Regions from separate parts of the Mus musculus genome. Here regions 1, 2, 3, 5 and 6 are each reported to be linked to region 4. Evidence: microRNA targets listed by miRTarBase, many of them from high-throughput screens and not tested one by one. Region 4 holds a microRNA gene; each other region holds the end of a gene's coding sequence.

Evidence for each region. The annotated mature microRNA mmu-miR-344d-3p reads GAUAUAACCACUGCCAGACUGA and lies in region 4 at 1,868-1,889, opposite strand. An mRNA with a match to its seed (bases 2 to 7 or 8) in the 3' UTR can be bound and repressed. Matches are read on the target gene's strand: a 7mer-m8 pairs with bases 2 to 8, a 7mer-A1 pairs with bases 2 to 7 and ends in A, and an 8mer does both.
Region 1: the mRNA of Eif2s1 is a reported target of mmu-miR-344d-3p. Seed matches in the 3' UTR shown: 7mer-A1 at 1,439-1,445.
Region 2: miRTarBase lists Gpalpp1 as a target of mmu-miR-344d-3p. Seed matches in the 3' UTR shown: 7mer-A1 at 3,838-3,844 and 7mer-A1 at 462-468.
Region 3: miRTarBase lists Nln as a target of mmu-miR-344d-3p. Seed matches in the 3' UTR shown: 7mer-A1 at 3,258-3,264.
Region 5: miRTarBase lists Gpc6 as a target of mmu-miR-344d-3p. Seed matches in the 3' UTR shown: 7mer-A1 at 1,863-1,869, 7mer-A1 at 1,937-1,943 and 7mer-A1 at 4,530-4,536.
Region 6: miRTarBase lists Senp3 as a target of mmu-miR-344d-3p. Seed matches in the 3' UTR shown: 7mer-A1 at 4,423-4,429.

Annotation. Positions count from the first base shown.
Region 1 is chr12:78,884,334-78,889,408 of GRCm38, forward strand. It overlaps Eif2s1 (eukaryotic translation initiation factor 2, subunit 1 alpha), which reads left to right. Exons shown (of 8, transcript NM_026114.3): 8 at 458-2,677. The coding sequence ends at 583. It overlaps Plek2 (pleckstrin 2), which reads right to left. Exons shown (of 9, transcript NM_013738.3): 9 at 4,364-4,974. The coding sequence ends at 4,847. Among named protein-coding and RNA genes, the nearest start is that of Plek2, 20 kb to the right of the region's middle.
Region 2 is chr14:76,085,807-76,090,881 of GRCm38, forward strand. It overlaps Gpalpp1 (GPALPP motifs containing 1), which reads right to left. Exons shown (of 8, transcript NM_026177.3): 8 at 426-4,940. The coding sequence ends at 4,722. Among named protein-coding and RNA genes, the nearest start is that of Gpalpp1, 22 kb to the right of the region's middle.
Region 3 is chr13:104,020,853-104,025,927 of GRCm38, forward strand. It overlaps Nln (neurolysin (metallopeptidase M3 family)), which reads right to left. Exons shown (of 13, transcript NM_029447.2): 13 at 2,587-4,228. The coding sequence ends at 4,094. Among named protein-coding and RNA genes, the nearest start is that of Gm30967, 14 kb to the right of the region's middle.
Region 4 is chr7:61,681,260-61,686,334 of GRCm38, forward strand. Mir344d-1 (microRNA 344d-1) reads right to left here and starts at 1,933; the gene lies at 1,865-1,933. It overlaps Mir344d-2 (microRNA 344d-2), which reads right to left and starts at 4,092; the gene lies at 4,013-4,092.
Region 5 is chr14:117,974,293-117,979,367 of GRCm38, forward strand. Gpc6 (glypican 6) reads left to right here. Exons shown (of 9, transcript NM_011821.3): 9 at 592-5,075. The coding sequence ends at 794. Among named protein-coding and RNA genes, the nearest start is that of Mir6239, 23 kb to the left of the region's middle.
Region 6 is chr11:69,668,754-69,673,820 of GRCm38, forward strand. It overlaps Senp3 (SUMO/sentrin specific peptidase 3), which reads right to left. Exons shown (of 11, transcript NM_030702.4): 11 at 4,357-4,883. The coding sequence ends at 4,773. It overlaps Eif4a1 (eukaryotic translation initiation factor 4A1), which reads right to left and starts at 3,670. Exons shown (of 11, transcript NM_144958.4): 1 at 3,526-3,670; 2 at 2,175-2,223; 3 at 1,862-1,994; 4 at 1,380-1,519; 5 at 325-493. The coding sequence starts at 3,548. Gm25835 (a small nucleolar RNA gene) reads right to left here and starts at 242; the gene lies at 99-242. It overlaps LOC115487892 (a small nucleolar RNA gene), which reads right to left and starts at 1,025; the gene lies at 882-1,025.

The sequences.
Region 1 (5,075 bases), not on the chromosome of region 4:
GGGAATCCTGTTTCAAACATAAAATAATCTGTCTTTCTCTCAATATGAACAAGACCTAATTTCCATATGCTGTATATCTGTGTGTATAGATGTTTCGATCTCTGAGGAAGGATAATAATTTATCTGGAGCCCAAAATATTCATTTTAAAAAAAAACAAAAAAACAACAGGCCATTTGGTGGTCTTCTGCTGTGATCAGTGAACTCGTTTTCAGTTGAGCTTATTAAAATGGCAGGAAGTATTATTCCACTGTAGTGTATACTGCTTCCTTGGATGGTCTTGAATTTTCTTAACTTTCAGCTGATAGAACTTATTCAGTGGTGAGTCAGCACAGGTATGACTGAATTTTGTTAGAAATGAATTTTTTGTTGTTAAATTTTAAACATTGGTCAGTAATACTATTGAAGTCAAATCTACTCTGCTGTTTACTTTATTTTGAAATTGTGCCTCTTCCACAGCCCAAAGTGGTCACAGATACAGATGAGACTGAACTTGCAAGGCAGCTGGAACGGCTGGAGAGAGAAAATGCAGAAGTGGATGGAGATGATGATGCAGAAGAAATGGAAGCCAAAGCTGAAGATTAACGTTTTGGCAAACAGTCCAATTTAAGGAGTACGAAGCAGCCCTTCCTGGCTGTCAACCCTAGACTTGAGAGTTTTCCAGTATTGAAAACTTCAAAGCTGAATATTTTTATTTCCAAGTATTTAAGTATTCAACAAGCCAGAATCTAAATGCCCTCCTTCATGTCAGCTGTTTCCACATAGTGGCTCTAACACCTCAAGCATTTTTCAAGGGAGTGGCTTGATTTGACCAGAGACAAATCTTAAACAGCAGTCCTAATATTGGGCCTACAGTTTCCATTTCTCATGTCTCTGGAATGGCACCCTTATGGTTCAGAGATTTACCAGGGACTCCAAACACAAACAATCCCAATCTTTCTATATAAAATGTATTCAAGCAAACATCAAATAAATTTCTGGGATATTTAATTGTAGGCTTCTTCCTTCTTGTCACAAGTTAAAGCCAATCTGAATGCTCAGATCCTAATTATCTTCATATGGTAGAACTCAATGGGCAAGTAACTAAATGACTTATGCAGGAACAGACTCTCCAAAGGAATGTTAGAGAAGAAATTAGGAATTTGACCCCTGGTAGAGAAAAACCTTGAAATCAATTAAAGATTTATGTGCCTGTTAACTTACTTGAAAGCAGTGATAACTTGTGTGAGAAGTCATCACACTCAGTCCCTTTGGTTTATTCTAAGCTACTTACCTTGAATTCATAATTCAAGGGGTATTTTAATGTGCTGCTGCTTTGATGGAGTTATTTTGAGCAGCATCACCCATCTGAAGGGGACAGTTTCCTCTATCTGGTAGGTGCTACCTAATTCTTGAGTTGTGTGTATGTGTGTGTGTGTGTGTATATATACATACATGGTTTTATATATATATAAACCACACATGATGTGATTTAACAAAATTTTTAATCCCATTTTTACCTTCTCAAACTAGCTACTTTAAAGGTTAATGTGCAAAATAATTTTTTCAAATAACACAAAGTTACAGCTACAATATCACATGTAGAAAGTCTTCATTTAGTTTGGCATGCTTATCTTAGGATATGTATACTATTTATTATCTGTAAGCAAACTTGAAACTAAGTCAGTCCAGGACTAGACATCATGGGAAGAGTTCTAGAGTTGGGTACAGAAGCACATGCTGATGGCTCCAGTACTTGGAAAGTTGAGGAGGGAAAATTCCTTGAGCCAAGAGTTGCTGATCAGCCTGGACAACCACTGCAAGACTCTGTATCAAAAGGATTGGAAATTAGAATGTTGAGAGATGTTTTATGCCATTTATGAAAGTTCTTTTGTTTAATCTACTGGTCTAACCTTGTGTGACCCATTTCCGAGGAGCCATGCTTGCTAGTCTGCATACCATGTTGCTAGTATTTAGGGACTCTGAATGTACTCCAGATTGGCTGACTACAGCAGTGGTTCTCAACCTTCCTAATGCTGGGACCTGTCGATACAGGTCTTCACATTGAGGTGACCCCCCAACCATAAAGTTATTTTTGTTACCACTTCATAACTTTAATTTTGCTACTATTATGAATCATAATATAAATATCTGGTTTTTGATGGTCTAGAACAACCACTGGTCATGCATCAAGAAGCAAGTTTAGGGCCAGGTATGGTAGTGCATGCCTTTAGTCCCATCATAGACAGTGGCAGTTGGATCTCTGAGTTCAAGGCATAGCTGGTCTATATATACCAAGTTACAGGTCACCTAAGACTGCATAGTGAGACTGTCTCAATTTTTTTTTCAAGTTTATAAAAGAACATGAAGGTGTTACCAAAGCTGCAATAGTAACTGTAATCTCAGATAATTCAGAGACAGAATACACATATTTTAAGGATTTAGAAATATAGCTAAGTTGGCCTGGTGCATAGCTAGCAAGTCAAGGCCCTGGGATCAATCCCCATTACCACAGAAGAAAAAATGTATTATCAAGTATAGCAAGCGCCCTTTTCCTAGGGATTGTTTACTGAAAAGTTTTATATTTAAGAGAACAATTTAGTCAGGTTGGTGGCATATATCTTTAATTCCAGTACTTGGGAGGCTAGCCTAGTTTTCAAAGCAAGTTCCAGCGCTGTTACACAGAGAAACCCTGTCTCCAAAAAAAAATTTAAGCCAGCCAGCCATGGTAGTGCACACCTTAAATCAGAGCAGTCTCAAGACTGGGTCTACAAAGCAAGTTCCAAATCAGCCAGGCTACACAGAGAAACACTGTCTCAAAGAATTAGAAATAGCTTATGGCTCCGTGATAGATTTTAATCTATCTGAGCTTTGTTGCTAGGTTCTACAGTTGTGTAAAATGCTGACTAGCCTGGGAGATCAATACTGCAGTGATCCTGTGATGAAAAGAACAAACTAAGACACATTAGGCCAGGCAGACTCACCCAGCTGTGAGACTGAACAGTGTAAACAACACACAGAACTTACATATCTTGGTTCTCCCACCAAAGCCTTCTCATTAAAAATGCTAATAGTTCTGTTTTCCTTCTGCCATCGATTACAGTCATATGGTCCTTAATTTATACAACAAAATAAATAGACTTCATGACTCCTAACAATGATTTGAAACTAACTAAAACGAAACATTGAAACTGCTTTTTTTAATTAGTTTTATAACCAAACATAGCCAATTTTCATGAATATGTTCCAAGTTTTGGGGGGTTTATTTTGTTTGGTTGATTGGGGTTGTGTGTGGGGGGGGGTATTTCAAGATGTTCAGGTTCTTAACTGGAGCTCTAGAGATGTGCTGATCTTTGGGCCACTACTTAGCTATTGTACACCAGCCCATTTGTGTCCTGGGCATTTTTTTTTTTTTTTTTTTACAACGAGAACAATTAAAATGAGTAGGCATGAAAAAAAGCTGGGTCTAGCTAGACCTTGCCAGCTCCACTGCTTTGTCTCAAGCCAGTGCTCATCTGTTTTAGAACCCTTGAGAATCCTCTCACCCATAGCTATGGGAAGCAGGAAGCTATCAAGCCAAATGTAGTTTAATTCCGATAAGCACCTGTCAACATTCTAAAAGTAACTCTAGGTACATTAAACCTGGAAAGATGCCAAATGAAAAAAACGGTGCTTGAAAAGGCAGTCTCTTACAAAGTAAGGAGTAAAGGGAGAAACAGACAAGTTCTTGGGATTCCAAACACGGGGTCAGATATTCCAGACGTTAAGAGGAAATCTATTTTAAGAGAAGTTTTTACTTAGACACTTTAGAAATATCCACTCCCCTTAAATGTAAGTCATGTATTTTATCTATTAAAGTCCAAGCCATTGTCCTTGGCAAGAATCCTGGCCATCACTGCCAGATCACTGTATACATTTAATAAAAAATATTTATAAAAACACTGTATGATACAGACTTGTCACTTTAACCCCCAACTGGGGATGAGCTAATGTTCATTTTTAGACCAAAGTTTTATACCTTGAGTTAACTTTTGTCATTTGTATCCTTGTCGTTTGGAGAGCTGAGGCTCCACATCTTTCTAAATGTCCATTTTATATAAAAAAAAAAAAAAAAGCTGTATTTCTGCCTTTTAAAAAATATCTGCGACAGATTTCAAGAGTATGACATCTGCAACTTGTGATACCTACTGTCTTACAGTACAAGACAAACAGTATCCTCTGAACAGACATCTGTTTGTCAGCATCCCCACTTTAAAGTGAGAAACATCATCCTGGTGACAGATCACCAGAGATTCCTCCACAACCAGCTTCCGTAATACATAGGGCCTCACAGGTTAGAAACCTGTGGGAACCAGAGAACTAACTACAAGAACCATAACAGTCAGGGACAGATGTCATTCTTTATTAATCCCAGAGATACTGAGTTGTTGAAATCAGTTGAGAGAGAGTCTTGAGACTAGAGTATTTAATACAGAAAACCGGAGTTAGTGTTCCAACAGAGAAAGAGGTACTACTATTGTCCCCAAAGACAGATTTCTGTCCTGAAGAGCAAAGTCAAGATGCTGCCCACCTAACAGCTGGTCCATCTTTTAAAGTTGGTCATAGGAAGGCAGAAGGAAATCATCGCATCCCCGCTGTCATCTGAGGAGCCACTTTGGGCAGTCTTACTCCAAAGCCATGCAACATTTATAATGATAAGGTTTTTTTGTTGTTGTTTTGTTTTTTTAACAGTACCAAGAATTGAACTCAGGATGGCCAGGCAAGTCCTCCACCACTGAGCCACATCCCCAGCCCAGTATCTTGTACTCCAGTTCTCCAGGAAGTCTTATCTGTATCCAATGATGAGAACCCTGGTCCCGCTCCTTTAGATCATGTTAGCTTCTTGATAGCTTCAATCCATTCTGCTCGCTCAGCCTTGCTGCTGGCCTGGATATAATAGTGTGTGTCATCCTTCGTAATCACTTTGAAGAGATTTCCTTGGACATTCCCTTTAACTCCTACACAGGGGAGAGGAAAAGTATTGAATATCCATGTCAACTTCCAGCTTGTATTTCCACTCCCTATAGCCATAAGGTCTGCCAGTGGTTATTCTAAAAGT
Region 2 (5,075 bases), not on the chromosome of region 4:
CTCAGGACTGATTGACATACCTACCATAAGAAACACTGGAATTTTCATTAGAACCCTGGCGGGAATCAAAGGTAAGATGGACTCCATGGTCCCAGCACAGGCTTTTGACCCTGCAGTCAGTTCCATGATAGTGCTTCTCGCTCATCGCAGCTGAACTGGAAAACATGGTGCAGCCCATGCAGGCCTTTAGCCTGTGATTCTCCTGCCTTAGGCTCAATAGTGGGGTTGCAGGTCTGTGCCACCAGCATCTTCACTCCTCCTCCCCCACCCGAATTCTTTTTCTCCTTCCCATCACCTGCATAATAGTCCACAATGACTGGCTAACCAGAAGAAACCTGTTCAGGATATTCTTGCTGCCAGTACTGCTTGCTTCAGGAAAGCTAAGAATATCAAAACAAAGAAAAACAAAAAAGGAAGATTCCAACTTCTCAGATATAGAGGACATTTTATTCATATATGTATATATAAAACTATACTTCAAAATGATCCTTTTCTAAAAGCAGCCTTTCCTAAATGAAACGGCTACAAGGAGTATACAACCTTTCAACCTTGTACACACCATGGTCACAGTTAAACAATTTCTGGGTGGTGCTGAGAACTGGGGATGGAGCCAGGACTTCACGCTCACCCACATGCCTGGGCCCCGTTAGAGTGGGTTTTTAAAGCTGTAAACAAAACAACAACAACCAAACAAAAAGCTCTTCTACAGCAGCACAAGGCTCTGTATCTGCAGCCCAGACGAAGCCTCAGTATGGCAGCAGAAGTCAGGTAGGTGGTGCTTCGTGGTCTCTCATCTGGAGCCACTTTCCTCGATGTAGACTCCTCCTCTCAGGTATAATGCCCTGGAGAGGCTTTTCTAGAAGCACCAATAACACCATGGAGAAGTGGAAGCGGACGAGGCCTCGAGCTTATGAGCTCTGCACCACTGTCATGTATTTCACAATGGTATCAACATGATTAGTCTGCATAAGAACCATAGTATCATGTAACAGCGAATGATTTATGTGACTCTGAAACATGGAAGGCTCAGATCTATACACATAGCAATCTCACACCTAACAAAGGATAAATGAATAAGTGAATGTGTTCTTAAAGCTAAATAAATGAAAAAACTCATGTAGACTATGTCCCCCACCCCACAAGCAGAGCTCAGTTTTCCCTGTGGAGGCCAATCTGAAAGTCTTATCCTGGGTTGGCCAGGTCCTCTCTTGTTTTAGTCCCTCATCTTCCCCTACTACTAAAACCAACCGTCTGCTCACCAGTGATGTGAATACTGTTTGAGGCTGAGCAGTCGGACCTGGACAAGGCCATCCAGGGAATTGATGGCCAACGTTAGTGGTGAGACACCAGGGTTTGACCTGGTGCTAGTAACTCCTTTCTTCTTCACTCCCTGTAAAACATGGCCAGGGGTTGCAGGGCTGCTTTTATTAGGAAATGCTGACTGTCAGGGCAGTGGACTCCAGCAGGCCTCTGCTCTTTGGAAGATGGGATGATATGAGGAACATCTTTCTGTAATGCACACAGAGCTGCTTCATTTTTTTATGGTCAATATTAATTGAGATTTATGTCTCCATGTGGCCAAACCTCCCTGGAAATGGCATATACTTTACTGCAACTGTCATCTGGGTAACAGAAAATAGCACTGGCTCCAGGGTGCCAGCGAGGTAATCATACATCTGGTGGGCTGTCCTTTATCTGAGGTCACAGGAAATAGTAAGCATAGTACAGATATTCCTAACCCCTTCCACTGAGAAAGCAAGGCCAATGAGTGTCCAGAAGTGGTATTTTTACTTTTAAGATTATTTTTAAAGTTATGAGTCTGAGTGTCATTTTGTACATGGGCACAGATGACCATGGACCCCAAGAGGGGTCAGACCCCGTGCAGCTGGAGTTACAGGGAGTGTGGACACCAGGTGTGGGTGCTGGGAACTGAGTCAGGTGATTTGCAAGAGCTGTACACGCTCTGCCGACAGCTACCTCCTTTAAATTGATTGATTTCTTAGTATTTTAACTTTAAAAAGAGGCTGGAGAAATGGCTCAGCAGTTAAGAACACCGACTGCTCTTCCAAAGGTCCTGAGTTCAAATCCCAGCAACCACATTGTGGCTCACAACCATCCGTAAGGAAATCTGATACCCTCTTCTGGAGTGTCTGAAGACAGCTACAGTGTACTTACACATAATAACTTTTAAAAGTAACAAATTTCACAAAATATGTTAGGTTTTCTAATAGCTAAAAAAACATTTTCCTCTCATGGGGGGGGGGATAATCACAATATGAAAAGGACAGAATAAATACTCCTTTTTCTTGGATTTTTGAGACAGGGTCTCTCTACACAGCACTGGATGTCCTGGAATTCACTCTGTAGAGCAGGCTGGCCTTGAGCTTACATAGATATGCCTGCCTCTGCCTTCCAAGTGCTGGGATTAAAGGCACTCATGACCATGCTAGTCAGAATTAATACTCTTGTATAAAGTTTTATATGCAGAAACCCATTCACTTTAGCCAAAGGGTAGATCTATCTAAATCTATGGGGACAAGAAGTCTGTTTAATTTACTCAAAATAATTCAGGTTTTAAGAAGCAGCAGTCCTTGAATAGGCTGTTTATACCAGTATAAAAATTGTGCCACTATTAAGAAATACTTTATATTGTAATTTGAACAGTTTGCCTAATTTTTATAAAGTTCACATGAATTGGGAATCAAAACATTTTCCCATTACAACTCTATGCTTTGTGAAAACTAGAATACAGAGTCGGCAGAACAAAAAAACCTGCTAGAAATGCCCAGAATTCGCATTTAGCTTTTCTCTCCCTCATTAGGAGTGTCTGTTTAACAGCTCAAGAGGCATTGCTTACAGCACTAAACCATATAATACTCCCACTGGGTGGTTGCGAGTACAGATTCCCCATTTCCAGTGATTATTTGGTTATTTTTAAAAGCCATCCAGAATTAATATTCCAGTAAACCAGATACAAAGTGCTATATACATATATGAATCAGATGATCACATGTGACGTTCCAAGATGCAGGCAGCTTTGGTGAGACCATGAAGACAGCATCCTAGACTTCACATGAATGAGAATAGGTGAGTATAATGTCCTTCAGATTGCCTCCCCTACAAATATTTACTGTTAAAATCACAATATTTCCTTAACCTGAGATAATCCAAACAGCTTCTTTACCTTAAAACCAATAAAAACAATTAACCTGACAGGAACTAAATAAATACAACAGCAGGAAGGACAAACCCCCATGCTCTGTATAGACTAGGTTCAGTTTGGAAGACAAGCTAAGAAATTTAAAATTGATGGATTTGCAAGGGCCTGTGTGATGGTTTGTATGTGCTTGGCCCAGAGAGTGGCACTATTAGAAGGTGTGGCCTGTTGGAGTAGGTGTGTCACTGTGGGTGTGAGTTTTAAGACCCTCATCCTAACAGTATTCTGCTAGCAGCCTTCAGATGAAGATGTTGAACTCTCTGCTCCTCCTGCACCATGCCTGTCTAGATGCTGCCATGCTCCCACCCTGATGCTAATGGACTGAACCTCTGAACCTGTAAGCCAGCCCTAATTAAATGTCCTCACAAGAGTTGCCTCGGTCATGGTATCTGTTCACAGAGGTAAAACCCTAACTAAGACAGCCTGACACAATGATTCTAGGGCAGGTTAAATATATTTGAAGAAAAATGTCCAGACTGTGGTAGAGAGTATACAGTCTCACCCAGAACTAAGGAAACATGTAAGACACCATAAAAAATTAGGGGCTGTAGTATTGTGGGGATGGACTCTTAAAATAATTACATGAAGAAAAGCCAAGAACACCCAAAATCATTCCATTCTATATAAGAACACAGATTGTCTGTCCCCATAGTACTTTAAAGGATACAGACCATGGCAAATTTATATGTTTTTAAAGATCATTCTCTAACAAATTATGGTGGCCAGACAAACATCACACGGGGAAATCTCTCTTATGTAACAATGCAGTAAGCTGAAAAACATTTTAAAGTTCATATTATCCTTTAAAATCACACCTGAATATCGATATCTATTTCATGATACTACAAATCACGAGGAACTTAAGAAGCATCCTCAGCTCTCACACAATTCCTTAACCAACATCCCAGACTCTCATAGATGGACCCATGGGATTATGGATATTTAAGGCGTACCAGCTGACACTCAACTTACAGAGGCCTTCTGGAGCAATGCATGTTTTTCTAACTGTAATGTTGTTCAAAGAACGGTATGGTGGCACTCACCTTTAATCCCAGCACTTGGGGACAGAGGCAGGTGGGTCTCTGGGAGTTTGAGGCCAGCTTGCTAGTAGTATACACAGTGAGTTCTGGGCCAGCCAAGGTTACACAGTGAGACCCCGTCTCAAAAATCAACAAGCAAGTGAACAATTAAACACACACAAATGCCCCTAATGGACCACATGACCCCTCAAGCTGCACACCACACTCTGTGAAGAGCCCTTTCTCTTCATTGAAACCCTTTTCTAGTAGCAATGTTCTGTTGGGCTATTGTGAAGACAAAGCTTTTTTTTCCCACTATCTCCCCTCCCCCAACTTTTCAAAAGTCACAATTTATAAAAATGTAGACCCTGAATCTACTTTATACAAAAGGAGACGTATTTGTGCACATAATTACTATTGACAAAGGTATATTCTGAGGGGTTCAGGCTGATCAGTATAAGTGTACCTCACTGAAGTACACTTACTTATAAAAACATGTTGCCTTTGCCATGTGAAAACCGGGTGTTTAGTTCTCTGGATTTCTTTATTAGGGCTTTTTTCTGAGCCTCATCAAACCGATTAACCTTGAGATCTTTATCACGGTCAAATGGTATTCTCTCCTGGTGCTTGTTTTTATCTTCAGCAGCCTTACTCTTTAACTTCTTATGATGAATGTCCATGAGGGATTCTGATCTTTTTGATTCCTAGGGAAGTAGAACAGAAGTGAACACCTTAGCTCAGGTATGTTACAGACAGTCTACAACCATGAAGCAGACAAGACCAGTGCATGTGAATAAGAGATGTTTGCAAACCCTGATGGGGTCTTCTGGATCCAAGAC
Region 3 (5,075 bases), not on the chromosome of region 4:
GATAGCTGAAGACTGGAGGGCCGTGAGCAGGAGCAGCCAGGATCCCAGTGTAGAGGAGGGCTAGACCAATGGGTGCAATGTGCCATGAGACAGCTGCGTGTGGAGTCAGTATGGGGCGAGTAGAAACACACTAAGGGAAGAAAAGTTAACTTTTATTTGTGTTGAAGAGCTTTCGCCTCTATTTTGGCCACAGTCAACTGTTAAGTCTTCCATCCTTCATTCCAAACAACAGACTTTCTCACTGCTGTGAGCAAATGCAGGAAAGTTCAAAGAAGGGATTAGGAGTTGGGGGGAGGGGCAATGATTTCAGAAGACCTAATCTAATGAGAAAGGGAGGGTGTGATGAGACAGAGCGACTCACACTGTGGACATCAGGGCGCAGAGGCCTGCTCTTCAGGTTTCCCTCTTCCATTTTATTACACGTGGACTCCAAGGCTGCTGAACATAGGTCTTTCCTCTCTTAATCCATCCTGGAAATTTTTTTTGTAGACACAACTAGAGGTTAATCTACTAGGGGTTCTTGAATCAACTTGACTATCGATGTCAACTATGACATCAGATTCCAGGGAAGCCTGAGAAGCTCCAATTGAAGTTATGCAGGCTAACTACAGATAACTATGACACGAACTATAACCGGTCTGGTTGTAGCATAAGGGAAGCTACACTATGTCAACGCCTTTTCTATTTGTGTGTGCACATTCATGTGCATTTGTGTGTGCCAAAGTACATGTTAGAGGCCAGAGACTGATACTGGTTATCTTCCTCTTATGTTTTGAGACTGGTCCTCTACACTGGGACTCGCGGATTTGTCTAGGCTGGCCATGGAGCTGGCTTGTTTGCTATCCCCCTAGCACTGGGATTGGCACAGTAGTAGCATCTCTTGCCATACCTGGCTTTTCTGTAGATGAAGGGGTTCACGTTTGCCCAGCAGGTATTTTATCCAGTAACCCATATCCCCGGTTCTCAGTGCCCTAAGATGCAGAACACGAACCTGTCACCCAAGTTATGTCTCCCTGACCACTACAGAAAGAAACCTCAAAGCTTACCTGTGGAGGAAATGTCTGTAACACCCATGGAGGACACAGGTTCTTTATGAACCCTCACAAACAGCAGCAGAAAGCGTCTCAGTCAACAGTTAGGAGCTGTTCCTCATACTGAAGTCTTCTATTTTCTAATTGTACCTTTAAGCTCCAACACCGTTAGCCATGACATCAGCTCTCCCATAGTGTGTAAGTATTTGAAACAGTGAGAATTCACTTGAGAATTCACTCTCCAGACGAACTTTCCTCTTGAGGGCTATTTCCAAAGTCATCACCATATTGTTGGTTTCTCAAACACTTGTGATGCTAATTAATACAAGCCTGCTGAAAATGTAGTTCTTAGGATGGGTCATAGTAGCCCATTCCTTATGGGAGCTAACCATATTGGGATCCAGAGGGACTTTCGATCTGGATACAAACATCTTCCAGTTCCCTCTTCAAAGGCTTTGTGCTTCCCACAGGCCCCTCCCTATATGTGCTAAACAGTGAACTGCTACTGATATTTGGCTAGAAGGTCACCAAGACTTTTGGTTGCCAAGTCACATCATCACAGTGAGGTTTTGCCTCTACCTGACAATGGGACTTGATTAATTTTGTTTTATGTTTGTCTTAGTAGAGGAATCTTTCAATTTTAATAACATGTTCATATATAACTATTCCAGCTGTTATTTATATGTTAGTATTTTTTAGTGGATTTTCTTGCTTTTAGCCAAAGGACTTGCTATTCCCCCTCTTTATTCAATAGCTAGGAATCCACTTAGCCAAAGTTATCCAGTCCTATCTCTCAAGCACAAAGGTATGTCAACAGAGACACCAAGTACCTTGATGGGCACAGTGAGCACTTTCTATAAAACTTTCTTAGGTATCCAGCTTCTCTGATGACAAACGCTGCAGACATTGTACCTTGGGAAGAACACTTTAGAGCTGCCTCTGGGTATCTGAAAATCGCCGGTGGAAAGCTTGAGAACAGAGGACGAGCACAGCGGAACAGGGGTACCAAACCTGTTCCTTATGAGGAAATGGAACATGCAGGAATATCCAACCAAATAGAAGCCCAAGCAGAGGGTGGTGGCATCCACCTATAAACACAACACGAGGGGTGGTTGCGCGGCTGATTCGCTGTGCCTTTAACATTAAAAGACAAAAGTACTGTGAGCTCATTCTCACGGACAATGATGTCACTTTATTGTGTGCAGTCAGTCTTTTACACACTGGCTATTAGCTTTTCCAAGTAAAGTAAGATTTATGATGAAGTTATTTTTGAAGGAGACAAACCGGGCAATAATAGAAAAAGCTGAAGAGAGTTTTTTTTTTTCTTTCTTTTTCTCCTTTTTTTTGTCTGAAAGTAGGAAACAAAAATGGGGGTGGGGACAGATGTGAGACGCTTCCAGAGGTTTCTACCACCACCATAAAAGCAGCTGGGAGAGCATAGCACTTGCTAGCATGGGTGAAGAAGCCGGAGGTTTGATGCCCAGCCTTGTAAAAATCAAATCAAACTACATAAACAAAGGGCTTCCCTGCTGTGTACCAGCTCTTGGTACTCTGTATAACTTTATTACACGACATAATATTTTATTGAACACAAAGTCCACCGGGTCTAAAGAACAGACAGGCTCTAATTTCGTTTCCTGCCAGGAAAGTCATTCCTCAGGTATGTGTGGAGAAACAACTCAAAGCCCTGTGGAAAGTCCGATCACAGCTCATTTACATTTTCTCCTCTCTATCCTACTTGGCTTCCGTTTGGAGTAGACTCCCAAGGCTAAAATAATGCTGTGAGCTCACTACTCTGAGCTGGAAACTTAGGTCCCAATAAAAGGAGTTGGAGATCTGGAGGTTCACTTAACAGTCGCCATATGAAACAGCCTGCTGGACAGCCTTTTCCCACAGCTCGGTTGCCCACGGAACACTTGGGAGCAGCTGTTCGCAAACGCTCTGCTCCAACGCACTCTTTTCTGGAGTTTTCAAAGCTAAGTTCCAGTGGATGTCATCTCTCCCCCTGGCACTTCAACACACTGTGACTACAGGGCCGACCTACCACTTTCAGGGAGGCAAGGTCAGAGTCTTATTAGAAACGTGAGAACTGAGCTGAGTGAGGCAGCTCACACCTGCGCCCCTAAGGCTTGGGAGGCCGAAGCAGGGGAATTACCATGAGTTCCAGGCGAATCTGGCTCCATGGTGAGATGGTGCCTCAAGCAAACAAAATAAAAAAAATATATATATATAAGCAAAACAAGCAGAAACAAATACATAGCAAATACTAAAAGTCGAGAACCCAAAAGATGCCTAAGTTCTCTGCTTCTCTCACTGTGACTGCAACCGAAGACTTGACATTTGAGCTTCTAGTGCAAGACACAAAACTTATATACTAGGCCAGTTGAAACAAAATTTAAAAATATTATCTAAATAATAATATTAACTTTAGAAATTAAATTTTAGAAGGGAAAGAACCCCAAATCTAAGTGGAGCTATGTAAGTAAGTGTGACAGAAGCCGAGAATCACAAAGCTCACTACAAAAGACAAACAGCATTGAAGTGTATCCTGCGGGCCTTGACACACACAGGCAAACTGTCACTTAGTTGTGAGGCAGAGGGTCAAGGTTGACACAGGGCTCTGAGAAAATATTTACCAGAGAGAACATGCTGATTCACTTATCAGTCCAGGAATCTCAAGTATAAAACTTCAAGATATAAGAAAGATCAAATTATATCATGTATGTGATTCAATTTAAAATGTCTTAGCCCTCTTACATTATATTATCTGGATTATAACAGTAAAAAAATCAAATTACAGTCATATGAAACTTTTATCAAAAGAAATCAAATCTGTTTTTATGAAACTTTATAGTACAATTATTTTTAGTGGGTCTTTTCTTAGGTCACAGTATTTATAATTCCATTTACATCTGTATAATTTTTAAAATGAAGAAACAAAAGCAAATGAATAGAAATCTAAGTTTTCCTTTGTAAAACTGCCTTCAGTCTCCAGGCCGGCACCACATGGCGGACGGTGTTGGCTTGTCCTCCAGCCACGGACAGCCCCCAGCGTCCCTGCTTTACGAAGCATTCAGGCCTCGACTCATCAGGAATGCTTTCTGGTTTGGCTCACGTTGCAAGAAATTCTGGAGCATGTCCATGCCGTCCAGGGACCCCCCAGGCTTCAGGATTAGGTTTCTGTATTTCATTCCAACCTAATAAAAGAAAACATCATGCCTAATAACTCACGGGCCCAGCAATCCTCCAGATCCCCAGACACAAGGGAGAGAGAGGTGAGGGCGAGGAAAGGGGCTTCAGCTCTACTCGAGTCTAGACAGTTCTGCTCACGCAGCAGCTCGCTCGCTCCTTCCTTCCTTCCTTCCTTCCTTCCTTCCTTCCTTCCTTCCTTCCTTCCTTCCTTCCTTCCTGTAGTTAAGAGATTTGGAGCTTTAGCCTCAGGCCTGAATTCCCTGTGGAATATTAATTATTGTCTCCTGTCCTTAGATTCTCAGCTGTGAGCTGACAATGAAGGCAGGCAGGGACACCAATCAGCCAAACAGAACACAATTTGCTACTGCCAGTTAGCCCAGTTCCAGTGTGATTCAGAAGGGCTAGCAGAGCAAGTGTTCCCAAGGCTATGGGGCTGCATGTGCTTCGGAGCAGGAACTCGGCTACTGTCAAATGCCTTCAGGTATTTTTATAAGGGGCTCACGAAAAAACAAAACAACCCCCCACAAAGAAACCTAAGCAGCATTCTTGTGGATGGCTAAGTGACAAGTGATTCTGAGGGGTCAGGAGTGGAAGGACAGAAGTTTTGAGAGATGGAAGTCTGGAATTTGAAAACAAACCACAGTTCCTCTGTTTTTATTCACATGAACATCCGAGCAGACATGTTGAAAGAGAACAGCTGCTGCTCAGCGTCACATAAGCACAGCTCAGATCCTTCCACTGCTCTGGTAAGGAGTCCTAATTCTAGATGTGCATATAAAATAAACGGATATTGCTCACGTTTATATTTATTACGTGATCTGACCAATAGGAATGATAATCCTTTGGGGTACA
Region 4 (5,075 bases):
GACATCCCCTAGACTCTGTCATAAGCTGAAGCTTGAATATTGTATCTTCTTTGCAGAAGAAACAAACGTTCATGACTGAGAAAAGTAAGTCACACTTCAAATCAGATACCTGAATTTCCCATAGGTTGACAGCTACTATACGAAACATAGAGCTAAGCAATCAGTGCATGGAAGCTCTGAAATAAACAACCACAGGCTTTGAAGATTTTCACTGGCTCTGTCTGCTGACAGTGACAACACTCTCCCTTCTCTTTAGCACCTTTCAGTCTGGCAGTGGTTATATCCAGGACAAGGTAAGTCCTGGAGTATAGCCAGCAGCCTAACTGATGAAATCTTCCCCTGCAGACAAATTTATTTGTTCTCTTTGCCTCTGATTGATGGAGAATGTGTATTCAAATGGAGAATGAAATCAGATCCAATCAGGAGAGAGATCTCATATGTAGACATGGGCATCCAATCCTGCTGCAACACTGGAGATCTCCATCAGTCCTGCTGATTCATACCTCAACACTTTCACCATGGATTCTCAAAAGGAATTAGAAAAACCGAAAATGGATGGAGAAAAAAGCTGGTTTTACATTCTTCTCTCTACACAACCAACAGAAATACAAGTTAGTGGAATGTTAAGGGTGTTCTGATTTCTGGCTGCTTCTGCTTAGATGTAAGCTCTTTGCCAAGGTTCTTCTGCTTCTTTTAAGGCCTTTCTGACTGCGATTATTATCTTGCAAATTTTGTGTGGCCTGCTAAATATTGATGTGCCTGCATCTCCCTTGGAAATTGCTTCTGTTGTATATTCATGTTTTAGATTTTCCCAGTACAATAATGTTTTATAGGGTATCTTCAAAGAGGTTTTGGAATACAACGTTCAATATTCAGCCCATACCCTGCTCCCCAAGTATTCAGTTTGCAAGAAACACTGGAGTGTTTCAAAAACCTGAAAAATATTAATAGAAATTCAGTGTTGAAAACAAGTTTTAATGCTTTGATTATCCAAAACAAAACATTGTGTGTACAAATATAAATATGTGTTTTGAAAAATACCATGGCATTTTTAATGCATGTACAGATTAATGTGATTTTTTTATTGTCATGAATGTATAAATCAAAATAATAAAGTTTCATGAATATCTACACTATATGACAGAGACCTGACCTCTAAACACAGAATTAAAATAACATGAAAACTTAGGACTCGAGTTATCCACAAGTACAAGATAACAATAAAAATACTGCATCCATTTCTTCCTGTATGTCATGTTTTATCCAGTTGGAGATGATCTGGACATGATCTATTGATTTCTGTAAAGGGCTTATGATTTTATCGAGCTCTGAGGTAGCAAAGAATTGACCTGGAAGAAAAACATCCTAGAGAATCTAGTAAAGGATAAGAATAATAAGAAAACAAACAATAGTTGTCTTGTTGAAGGTCTGTGGCCATTACAGGTAACATGCTACTAGCAGCACAGACCCAATACTGCTTGGATTCGAGGAATGGTAGTATGTTTGCTGGTTAGTTACATCTGAGTTTACTTAGAATCTAAGTTGGCATGTTGAGGACATTTGCTGCCATAGCAGTCTTCACAGTGGCTAATTTAAGAATATAAAAATTTCCAAAAATTCCTAGTCTCTGACACAAGCTGAAGCTTGGATCTTGTATCTTCTTTGCAGAAGACATATCCTAGCACGACTGAGAAAAGTAAGTCAATCTCCAAATCTGAATTTTGCATAGACTGACAGCTACTATACAAAACAAGGACCATAGCAAACAGTGCATGGAGACTCTGAAATAAACAAGCACAGGCTTTGAAGATTTCCACTGGCTCTGTCTGCTGACAGTAACAACACTCTCCCTTCTCTTTAGCACCTTTCAGTCTGGCAGTGGTTATATCCAGGACCAGATAAGTCCTGGTGTATAGCCAGCAGCCTGACTGATGAAATCTTCCCCTGCAGACAAATTTATTTGCTCTCCTTGCTTCTGATTGATGGAGAATGTGTATTCAAATAGAGAATGATATCAGACCCAATCAGGAGAGAGATCTCATTTCTAGGCATGAACATCAAATGCTGCTGTAACCTTGGAGATCTCCATCCATGCTGCTGATTCATAGCTCAAGCACATCACCCTGGTTTCCCCAAAGAAAGCAGAAAAATGGATAGTGGATGGCAGACAAACCTTCTCTCTACACAAACCAACAGAAATACAAGATAGTGGAACGTTAAGTATGTTCTGATTTTTGGATTCATCTGCCTAAATTTAAGCTCTTTGTGGGAGTTCCCCTGCTTTTTTCAAGCCTTTCTGACTGTTTATTATCTTGAAATTTTGCTGCCTGCTGAATAATCGTGATGTGCCTGTATCTTCTTCCCCTATTGCTTCTGTTTTATGTTCTGATTGTAACCTTTCCTAGTACAATAATGTTTAATAGTGTATTCTCAGAGAGGATTTGGAATCCTAACTTCAATATTCTGCCCATACTATGCTTCCTAAATACTCAATTTTCATGAAATGCTCAAGTGTCTCAAAAAATCTGAACAATATTAAATGAAATTCAGTGTTGAAAACAATATTTATATGCTGTGATTATGTAAAACAAAACATTGTGTGTAGGAAAATATAATGTGTAGTTTGAAAGAAGACATGCCATTTTCTGATGCATATAGAGATTAATGTGATTTCTACTGTCAGGAATATATTATTCAAAATAATACTGGTTCATGAATATCCAGAATATATAACAGAGGCCTGCTCTCTAAAATCAGAATGAAAATAATTAGAAATCTTAGGACTCAAGATATCTACGAGTACAAGATCACAATGAAAATTACTGTATCCATTTCTTCCTTTATATTGCGTTTTAACCAGCTGGAGATGATCTGGACATGATCTATTGATTTCTGTAAAGGGTTCCGGATTCTAAAGAGCTGTTATATAGCAAAGAACTGATGTGGAAGAATATCAGCCAAGAAAATCTAGTAAAGGACAAGAGCAATAACAAAATAACAAAATAAACAACTGTCTCTTTTTTCCCCCACCCGGCAACTGTCTCTTATATATATATAGAGAGAGAGTATTAAGTGTAATCTAGAGTTGAAAACATTGTTCATGGACTGTAGATAATCAAAACCATATGTAAAGTGAAGTAAAAATTAAAGTGTGCTCATGAAGAGGACAGAGATTATTTTGATGTACATACAATTGTAATTCGTTTACTACTGTAAAGATTATCTGAAAAAAAAAGTAATACATTTCAGAAATGTCAAGGATATACAACAGTGACCTGGACTCTTAAGACAGATTCGAAATAACAGAAAAAAAATATAGGTCTCAAAGGAGTCACTAGTACAAGTTCCCCATGAAAATTTCTGTGCTCATTTCATTTCTATAGTGTATATAATACCAAGGTGGAGATCTTCAGGAGATGGATGATATATTGATTTCCCTAAAGGACCCATGACTCTCTTGAACATATAGTTAGTAATGAAGTGGCTTGGAAGAACATACATGCTCAAGATTCTAGTATATTAAATATAAAATAACACTATAAACAATGTTTCAATTGTTGAATATTCATACCATAAATAAAAACCTGCTGCCAGAATCACTGCCCTAAGGATGCTTAGTTCCTGAGTAAGGTAGTATCTGTGTCTATTAGTTACATCAAGATTTTTCAGAGACTCCATGGTGGTATGTAGCAGGCATTTGCTTCCACAGCACTTCTCACAGTGTCTAACCTAAGTTTGTGAAAATGTGAAAATTTTTCTTAGTCTCTGTCACAAGCTGAGATTGAATCTTGTATCTTCTTTGCAGAAGACATATTCCAGCATGACTGAGAAAAGTGTGTCATTCTCCAAATCTCCCATAGAGATTCTCCGAATCTCCCATAGAGCGACAGCTACAATACAAAACGACCAAAGCAATCAGTGCATTGAGGCTCTGAAATAAACAAGCACAGGCTTTGATGATTTCACTGGCGCTGTCTGCTGACAGTGACACAAGCACTCTCCCTTCTCTTTAGCACCATTCAGTCTGGCAGTGGTTATATCCAGGACCAGATAAGTCCTGGAATATAGCCAGCAACCAGACTAATGAAATCTTCCCTGGCAGACAAATTTATTTGCTCTCCTTGCTTCTGATTGATTGAGAATGTGTATTCAAATAGAGAATTGAATCAGATCCAATCAGGAGAGAAATCCCATATGTAGACATGGACATCAAGTCCTGCTGAATACTTGGAGCTCTCCGTCAGTGCTGATTCATACCTCACTGGCTCCTCTCTGGCTTCCTGGAAGGAAGCAGGGCTATTAAAAGCAGAGGGTAAAAAATGTTTTAAACATATTCATTCTACACTGACAAACATAAAAAAAAGTCACTGTGACTTTGGAAATCTTCCTATTTCTGGCTCCTTCTTCCTAGCTTTAAGTTATTTGCCAGAGATTCTCAGTTTCCTTTTCACCTGACTGTCTATCTTACAATTTTTTGCTGCCTGCTCACCCATTGTGATGTGCCTTTGTTTCCTTATCCAAATTATCTGTTGTATGCTCAGTGCATGGCTGTTCCTTGATAATTTAATGTTTATATTATATTTTCATGCTTCCACAAAGAGTTATTTTAATACTAAATTTAGTATTCTGCCCATGCCCTACTCCACCTGTACTCAGTTTGTATGAAATGCTGCAGTGTCACATAAATCTGAAAAATATTTCATTCAACTCAATTTTCAAAACTGTGTTAATATGCTGTGGTTATTGACACTCAAATATGGTATATGTGGAACTTTTAATGTGTGGATTTTCTATTCTATTTTTTTTTATTTTCATAGGCTATTTTCTTAACTTATTGGTTATCCTCCATTCCCCTTTTTTCACACAGTAACCCCTTCTCCAATACTCCACCCCTCTGTTTCTATGAGGGTGTTCTCCCACCCACCCATCAAAAATCCACCTCCCTGCATTTACATTCCCATATACTGAGGCATTGAGTCTTTTCAGGGCCAAGGTATTCTTCCCCTATTGATGCCTGACAAGACCATCCTTTGCTACATATGAGCCATGGGTCCCTACATGTATACTCTTTGGTG
Region 5 (5,075 bases), not on the chromosome of region 4:
TTAAAACAGCAACACTGAAGTACAAAGGAGCAAAGAACAGAATTGCATTTTAAAGATAGAAATATATAAAAGTGTGTGTGTGTGTGTGTGTGTGAGAGAGAGAGAGAGAGAGAGAGAGAGAGAGAGAGAGAGAGAGAGAGAATAAATGTATGTGAATCTGGACACCTGGGGGGGGGAGCTGGGAGTGGCCAGAAGAGAGTGCCAGATCTCCAAGAATAGAGTTGCAGGTAGATGTGCACTGCCCCGATGTTGGTCCTGGGGAATGAACTGAGTTCTGTGGCAATGGCCATGTCTCCAGCTCCAGAACACAGTTTCTTAGTCATTTAAATACTGGACAGCAGATGCATCTAATATTAATGTGGTTCAGAGGGCACCCGTTACAAATTTACTCTGTGCAGATACCAGTGAATTCTGTATCTCGGTTCTGTTTCTGGCCCATCACCAACCTGCCCGTGAAAAAACTATCTATGGGACAGGCCAGCAATGCTTTGATGGAGTGTTCCTCCCACACCATCCCAAGAGCTGTTGTGCTGTTTGTCGTTTATTCCCAGCTAACTGTTCTAACTTTCCTTGTCAATCTTCTCCCGCCAGGCGATGAATCCAGTGGCTCAGGCAGCGGCAGTGGTTGCATGGATGATGTGTGTCCCACGGAGTTCGAGTTTGTCACCACCGAGGCCCCGGCGGTGGACCCGGACCGCAGAGAAGAGGAATCTTCGGCCTCGAAGTTCAGCTCCTCCTTGATTTCCTGGTCTCTGGTCTGCATGGTCTTGGCCCTGCAGAGACTCTACAGATAATCGTGGGCTTTGGTCAGACGAAACTGCGTTTTAGCTCTTCTGTGGCCAACACCCTTCTTTTCTTACACTCTTGAACAATGGACCATGCCACACAACAAGCCGTTTTCTATGACAAGAGAGCAGTCTTGAGGTCTGCCTCCCCTTTTTGCTTTCCCAAAGAGTACCGGGTGCCAGATGGCTTGCTTCTCTTTCCGTCAGCTATCTGTGGGGACCTCGTTTATTCCAGAGAGAATTCTTACTCAAACCTTTCGTACCAAGAGATTGTTTTCTTACCGTCGTTTGCTTTTATGCTGCAAAATTAAAAGAATTTCATGTTGTGAGGGGGGTTTTGGTTTTGTTTTTTTTTACAACCCATTTAAAATAGGAAAAAATAATTTTCCGTTTCAAATCAGGCCAAACCCCAAGACAACTGCATTCTCAACAAGGAAACAAACAAAGGAGAGAAAATAAAGGAACTTTCATGCTATCAGGCTTGGCACTGACAGCCAACTCCTGGAGTGAGCTTTTCTGTGACAAGCGAGGTTTACAAAGCGCTTATGAGGAGAAAGCGTAACATTTTCATGTAGTGGAAATACACCGTTGTCTTGGAATCTAACCAAACTGATTTGAAGGTACTGATAGTAAATTTAGGACTCTGTCTTTATATGAACGGTAATCTTATGACAACTCAATGTCTCTCTTCCCACTGCCTGATCCCACCGCTCACTGATGGCAGCATTTTCTGTCTCCTAACGTCTGTCCGTTTTATCCAATTGACACTGTCTTCAGTTTTTCATAGATGCCCCGCCCCCATCTAGTCTCCTCTCTCCTAGGTCTTGACTCAAAAGTCATCTTCAGTGGTAACAATCTCTTCTTTCTCCAGACGGACATGAACCAGATGTCTCAGCTCCTGTGTTCCGGACCCTCCCCCAAATACGAGTTTTCTTACTGACATGACAATTGGCTCCACACATGAGGTTCTGTTACTGACTCTTTGTGTCAATTGGTCTCAGCATCACAAGGGCATTCTCTTAACATAACAACTCACAACAAAACAAGTCAAGACAAAAAGAGAGAGAGGATAAAACATTATATATAGTATTGACACGGAGGTTCTTTTCACTTTTTTAGTCTTAGTATGATCATCTATTTTTATATCTATATTATATATATATATAAATCACAGATTTTAACTTCTTAATTCCAAGCTCAGGGTTGACACTCCTTTGTAACAGAACTGTTTTGTCAACCGCCCCGTCTTGTTCTGTGCTGCTCAGAGAACAGACTCCTTAGTGATCTTCGAGCACCAAGAATCAAGAGCGAGAACTTTTTATGTATCTAACTGTCCATTGATGGCAAGTTTGCCAGGGCACACCCTTCTCACACACACTTGCTTTTCCCCTGGTGCTCCAAACTGTCCTGAGCTCATGGGACAAGCCTGGTGTGCAAGACGTGACTGGTGATGGAATGTGTGTGTGTAAAGAATGTTATTCATGAAAAAAACAAAAAACAAAAAAACATTGCTCTCTGGTACAGCACCTCTGGCCTTGGACTTCTACCGGGTACTGTACTGAATGGCCTAGACTCAAGAGGCCATTTTAGAGCCACTGCCTAACCTGTCCACCAAGCCAGGCCCAATGCTTCCTCTGACAGAAGCGAAATACACCAAACTGGGGTTGTATGAAGACAGTTGGCTAACCACCTTCTCCTCCTCCTCCTCCTTCTTCTTTCTTCTTCTTCTTCTTCTTCTTCTTCTTCTTCTTCTTCTTCTTCTTCTTCTTCTTCTTCTTCTTCTGCTTCTTCTGCTTCTTCTGCTTCTTCTGCTTCTTCTGCTTCTTCTGCTTCTTCTCCTTCTCCTTCTCCTTCTCCTTCTCCTTCTCCTTCTCCTTCTCCTTCTCCTTCTCCTTCTCCTTCTCCTTCTCCTTCTTCTTCTTCTTCTTCTTCTTCTTCTTCTTCTCCTTCTCCTTCTTTCTCCTCCTTCTCCTTCTCCTTCTCCTTCTCCTTCTTCTGCTTTTATGATGCATCTGGGATAGGAAAAAGAAATATCTCAAGATACCACAGCATGCCAATCACATTTTTAGCTGACTCATCGACAGTATTGACACATAAATGATATTTTTCTATCTCTGTTCTCACCAACATGAAAATTAGTTACCGATTTAGTCATCACGTCTAAGTAGAACACACGCACTCATATTAAGTATATTTGAGCACTTTTGAAAGACAGAACGTATTTACAAGCATCTGTTACCACCTTATGCCTAACAGAATAAGCAATGTAGGATTCTGAGAGACTCTGTGGCGTTTTTTCATTTACATTTGTGTGACATTAACACTTTATCCAACTCAGAACGGTATCCTTTTGGGAAACCACCCAGCTCAGAACCCCACTTTGGCTTCTAATCCCCCGTTACACATAACACTTCTCTATGAAGGACCAGCCACTTATGTTAGGTGGCTCACTGTATGTTCAGAAATCAGTATGTTTTTTTCCAATAATCATGGTGCAATAGGAATTAAACCAATGTGGATTCTCCAGGATTTTTGAGAATAAGGACTTATTTTTACGGCTTTAAGCTCCAACTTCCTTTTAAAATATTTCTGCATTATCTTCTATAAAACAAATCAAGATATCACATTCCTTACTATGCTTCTGCCCCCAGATGGTTTACATGACAACACATTACATGAATGAATGTGAGCCCATGTCCTGTGCACACTCATCACACAAATAATATAGAAATGCCTGTTTCCTTTGACTCAGCACCTGTATTCTCAAGGGTACGACTACTGATAAGATACAGTGATGCCCATGAGCCAGGCAGAGCTGAGATGAGGGTCAGCTGACAAAGCCACATCGTTGGTCATCTTACACAGACATGGACAAAATGTTTTTAACGTGCCCTTCCTAGTCATTGTCACTGCCCGTTGTATGGTTTTGTAGACTGATTTAATGTTAAAGGTTTAATTTTTTTTTCCTGTCCCCTAAGCCTTTTCGTTCAGTTTCCCCTTTTCGGTACTTTGGGATCCTCCTCCCAGCTTGAGTTTCCCATTCCAGCACAGTGATAGGAGATGTCTCAATGTTCCCTTGTCACCCACAGCCTACCCTCATTTGTGACGATGTTGTCCCCTAAAATCTGTAATCACATCACGACTTGTGTTACGAGTAGAGAGGAACGGAACCCCAAAATTGGACACTAGAAACCGGTGGGTGATGCTCATGACTACAAACACTTAGCTTATCCAAGTGCCTCTATTTACATGTTCCTTAGGTTTAATATGTATTTTTCTAACAGAAATACCCGTCTGCAATTGATGTTTATTATACTTTGTATATGTTACAACAAAAGCTAAACGGAGGCTAATGTCTTCAGCAGAGAAGAATGAACTGTAAATTTATGAACACGAACGCTGTAGTCCTGTATTGGCAGCCACAAGACAGCTTTCTGTCTGTCACTGCAGTGAAGGCCAAGTTGGCACTTTGATTACAGCCATCCCCGACTATAGCACTAGAATTCTGACTTCCTTACTGGGATTTACCCAAGGAGGAAGGTGACGTGACTCATCTGCTTCAAACATAAAGGAGAGAAACTACTTTATCTACACCGAGAAACTCTATCCACTGAGGCACAACAGTAGTTTCAAATGGAGCATTCTTTAAATCAAACACATTGAAGATATTATTGGATGTAAAACCATGAAACTTAATTTACATTCCCTGCTATAGACATTAGCCTTCTTTAATTCTTCTTGCCATTATATACATATTTTGGCTCCAGACTAAGCACCAACTTAAGTCTTCAAGGAGGAATAAAACTTAGCAAGATTCTGGCTTGCAAATCTTTTCTCACCTCTCTGCAAGGCTGAGTACCAGGTGGTTTGACTTTCGGTTTCAAATGTTGGCAAATGCAGCTTTTGACTTCTCCAAAAGCTTTCAGATACTCAACCTCATTTTCTTTGACTTATAGTCACTAGCAGATATTTAAATTAAAAGAATATGTAGCCTTGCTGCCAGAAGAGCAAAGGAGTCCATAACTTATAAATCTGCAGTGTGTTCCTCCTTGGTAGTGATATTGGCCAGTGCTTAGTTTTAGGCCAACATATACAAATAGAGTATTGATTTGTACGCATTCTGGAGACTTGCTATGTCATAGTTTGCTATAGCCCAGACTCAGCTTAGCATGGGAATGCTTGGGACTTCACTGAGAGTGGAGTGGCTGCTGCAATCTTTGGCATTGCCTTGTAATTAGGGACTTCATGAGCAACACCTTAACGAGGGTACCACAGTGCGGTCTCTGTGTG
Region 6 (5,067 bases), not on the chromosome of region 4:
CTAGAAGGCAGAAGAAAAAACACCAACACATAGTGATCAGACAAATGTGAAATACATGGAAATCTCTTGGTAAGAGGGCAGTCAAAGGGCAGATGTCTGCTCTCAGAATACAAGGACTGATCCTTTGCCCAAAGCTTCCCTGATAAGCCAGGCAAAAGCCCTGGTAAGTAGAACACTACCTGGGCTAAGGTAACAACAGGGAAGCCAGGCTCAGATGACACGCATGGGGTTCATCACAGAGCAACTCAGTTCTAAACTAAAGGAAAACTTGCATCCAAGAAAATGACATGTGGGAATGCCCACCAACTGTTACATGGTACTCACACAGGTATCTCCGGTTAAGCATGTCAAACACCCGGCCAGGGGTACCCACGATGATATGGGGAGCTTCCATCTGCAGCTTCTGCACCTCAGCACGCACATTGGTGCCCCCAATGCAGGCATGACAAGAGGCACCCATGTAGTCTCCTAATGCCATAACCACCTTTTGTATCTGAATGCAGAAGAACATCTACATTAACTCGGGCGGTACCCACGTAATTCTCTCTCAATCCCAGCACTACAACCACAAATGGCAGTGCTGAATCCCACCACACAGGTTCACAGTAATTTCCCCACCCCTACATGCAGCCTTGTAAAAAAACACCAGGCCAGCTCTACAAAGGCTTAGAAATCACTCTCCACCCTACTACCACATTCCAAATCCAAAGGCTGGGATTATGAACATAGCCTTATACCAACAATGTGTGTGATTATTTCATCCCTGCCACAGAACCAAGACTTAGTGTTCCACTAGAGCCAACATCCCCAGCTGATGTGCAAACAAAACCCAAAATCTACAGGGCTCTAAGACGTCAATCCTCTTAATTAGCTTCAGGATTTTATGTGCCCTAGGCATGAAACAGCTTTGGCCACCAAGCCAGGCATCAAGCTAGGATGAACAAAGGACTGCCATTTGCTCTGCCCCTGACTGATATAAGAACAACACCACAAACAAGGTGCCTCTTTGCCCATTGCCAGGGGTGTGTCATAAACAGCTAAACCTGCCCAGCCAGCTAGATAGATTCTACCAATCCTCTTCCCCTTCCTCAAAAGATGCATTTTCTTTTTTCTTTTTGCTGGTAAAGTTGGTGGTAATTAGGTCAGCAAATCTCAATAGAACTAAAAGCTGTCAACAAGACCCAGTGGCATTAAGACAATGTCCTCAACCTTCTTCTAATTGTCTTATTTTTAAGGTAAACGTCATAGTACTGGCTGTCCTGGAACTAGCTCTATGGACCAGGGTGGCCTTGAACTTGCAGTGCTCAATCTACCTGTATCACTCACCACTAGTACTCTTCTCTCTTAAACCAGTCATATAGGAAACACACCAATCTCACCTGCTGAGCCAATTCACGTGTGGGTGCCAGAACCAAAGCCTGAGTGGCCTTTAGATCTAATTCAATCTGCTGCAGAATTGATATGGCAAATGTAGCTGTTTTCCCAGTCCCAGACTGGGCTTGAGCAATCACATCATAACCTACAACCAGATCAAGAATTAGATGTGCACCTTGGGATCAGAGGATATTTGAAACTTTACTTCATGACATCAGTAACAGAAAAAAGGTTGTAAATGAAATGGTAGAGGTTTGCAAACAAACTTTTGCCAAAATATTATGAACTCACAACAGCTTGTTAGACTAGATGTAGAGCAATAAAAACAAAGCCTCTAATTGGAAACAAACCCATGCATCCAAGGCATGACCTATGTACTAACAAAACTAAAAATCCAAGATCCAAGAAGGATGTTTCCTCCCGGTTGCTATGCCCACCAACTCCCTACCACTCTGTCCAGTCCAATCTAGTCCAGTACAAGTCTTACCCTTGATACAAGGAAGAATAGCTCGCTGCTGGATGGCAGAGGGCTTCTCAAAACCATAGGCATAAATACCACGGAGGAGGGACTCTGAGAGATTCATGTCATCAAAGCTATCCACAATCTCGTTCCAGTTACTCTGCAGGATTAGGAAAAAAAAAAACTTAGGCACTTCGAGTAACGTGTTTACACTAAAGCTGGAGTCACCTCATCCTACAGGTTGCTCTGTTCTACCACTCCAAATGTCTAAGGTCACTGTCACGCTAAGGAAGTGCCTGTTCTGACAAAATAAAGTGGGAACCGCAGGTTCTGGTCTTACCTCGATGACGCCTTCCGGCTCCATCCCGTCGGGGCCATTGTCTCTGGATCTGTTGATTCAAAGCACTAGTTTTGCTTCATGCCTTGACCAGAGTGGAAGCAACCAGCCCATTCCCGATCCAACTCCCATGTACTCCCAAAGAACCATCAAGAGGCACTTCATAGAGTGACGCTCCTTTAAGATCAAGCGGCTGTAAAGGACTTCATTCACACACACATTCACACTCTCTCTCTCTCTCTCATACACAAAACGCCGAGATGCGGTCTTTGCAGCCAGGCCCACATGTTCTAGGTCTGGTGGATCAAAGCGCGTGCACCTCCTGGATGAACACCAAGGCCACCGGAAGTCCCGCCTTCCACCTCCGAGTTCCGTGGGTGGGCCATCCCCTTCCCCCCACGTCATGCCGCCCGCGCCCTCCCCCACTCCCTCTGGCCGGCCCCCCTCCACAGTACCCGGATGTGGGAGGCCGCGGGCGGTGGCGGCCTCGCGCACAATGAGCCCCAGCCGCGCTCGCAAAGGGGGAGATTGCACAACAGACAAGCGAAACAGGCTGGGGGAGGGGAATCTCTCAAGCGGCCATGTGCTCATTCGCTCCGCCACTCGGCGGCGTCTCCCCCGCCATGGAACAATCCGCAACCCGCCCGCCCCCGTCGAGAAATGGCGTCGCCCTCCCATACCTCAGGCCGCTCACCCCCGAAGGAAAGTGGACCTGCCCATCCGCAGTTTGCCAATTGCCCGGCTTGTGCGGCAAAATGGACCCGCCCGCCAGGCGCCGGGTGGGTTCCCCGTGCCTCACGCGGCCGCTCCTCCGGGTTAGGCTCTTTCCTGGCCGTCAAGAAGGCCAGCGCCCTGATCGGCCGGTTTCTTCTTCCCCGACCCACATTCCAAGCGCGACGGAGGGACTCGCTGAAGACCGGGGCACCCCTGCTTGTCGCGAGTGGTACCGCCAGAACTCTCCGGAACCCTCGCTCGCACGCCCTGCCCGACACAGGGAGGCAGCCAGACCAGCCGGCTCCGGGCCGCGCAGCCGCCTCTTTCCCACGTTATGTCGCGACCTCATCTTGCCTTTCAGTATCCGAGCTTCGCGTACGGCGTTCCCACAGGCCGAGGCCTCGTGACGAAGCTCGCGCCCTCCGCCCTAGCCAGGTCGTCCTTCCCCGTAACCACACTGGGGTCAGCGGCGGCCATGGGAATCTCCCCCACCCCCCCAACCCCGGACGGTTCCTCCCGGCTCGGTTCTCCCGCAACCTGGTAGGTTCGGTGCGATGGGCCTCTCAACTTCCCCACGGCGGGCCCTTTGGAGGGAACTACGGGGTAAGTAGCCATAACCTTTTGCAAAAGCCTTTCTTACCGAGAATCCTGACTCGCAGACATGATCCTTAGAATCTAGGGCGGAGTGCCCGCCTATCGACAACTTATAGAGCGTCCGACCCCGCCCCAGCCATCGCATTGGCTTGGCCACCTCTGCCCCGCCTGCCGGCGCTCTGCAACTCGACGTGACGTTACTTTGTAGGCGCTTTAGTTCGGACGCCCTATTGGGTAGTTTGAAAGCCCATCATGGCCTAGCCCCGCCCTATGGCCTCATTGGCTGAAGGGTCCGCCTTTCTCGCTGGTGCGGAAGTGACATACTTAAGTCGGGCCTCGCGGCGGGGCAGCCATCTTGGAACCCAGCACCTTTACACGTGCGGAGGCGATCGTGCCTTAGTCATGTGGCTCAGCAGGTCCTATCAAGCGACGGGGGTGAGGCCTTAGCCTCCAGGAACTTCCGGGCAGTCTGGACTGCCACTTTCCTTTACCTGGGTTTTCTTTACAGGACAAGTTTTATTTATTCTTCCGTTCAGGAAAATATTGTAGCGATATCTCATTGGATAGTAAGTTTCCCCGACTGGAGACAAAAAGGATGGAACCCACTTTTGGGTTAAAGGGCATAGGGGGATAAGCTGTCAAGGATTGTCCCACTCAATCACTGGTTCATTTAGTATGTTTCCAGTTTCTCCTGGGCTTCCTTACATGAATAAGCGAGTCTTAATTCATATTTACTGCCATCTGCTCCCCGGGGATGGCATCTATCGAAAGCTGGACTCTCAAGCCCTGAAATGGGGATCGCTAACAGTGTTAGCTGGAAGAAGACCTGAGATAAAGCACAGCCACTATTTTGAGGCCCCTTAAGGAAGACCACCACTTGCATATCTTCAAAGGATCCTTTATTGACCAGAGCAGGACCGTGGCATTTTTATATATATTTATATATATAAAAAAAAGTTTGAAGATCGGGCAGGCAGTAATCCCTTTGCGCGTCCACCACCCCCACACTGTTTTCCTGCCCTCTGAACATGGAAGGAGGAATGGCTGCTCCACCTAGGCCACAAGGCAACATTCTCCTATAGAGGGAGAAAGAGGCTTGCTTTTATGTGGCCATTCCCTTCCCATCAGAAATCAATATACTCGCAGCAAAAAAAAACAAAATACAGAAACCAAACATTTAAATATGAAAATCCAAAGGGAATTGGGTAGAGAAACAAAAAGGAACTAGAGTTTCTTGGGAAGGGTCTCCCTTTCCCCTGCCCACTGATGGGCTAAGGGTCTGGGGTATGAGGCTCACACAGTGAGTTTGCAGTGACACAGTTCCTTGTAGATCTGACGACGGAGTTTGGGCATGTCCTGCTGGGTGAAGCTGAATGGCTGAGACAGGGCCAGGTGCTTGCAGTACTGGGTGTTAACAAAGTAGACCATGAGAACAGTTTACTGAGCACCCTCCCAAGTCAGGACCTGTGCTACACATTTCACACAAAATACATCTTAATTTCTCAGAAAATATCTGTTTCTCATACACACTGCCATTATAGACTAAGCCTGGGGCTTCAACAAGCCTACATAATATATCTGGTGTTTA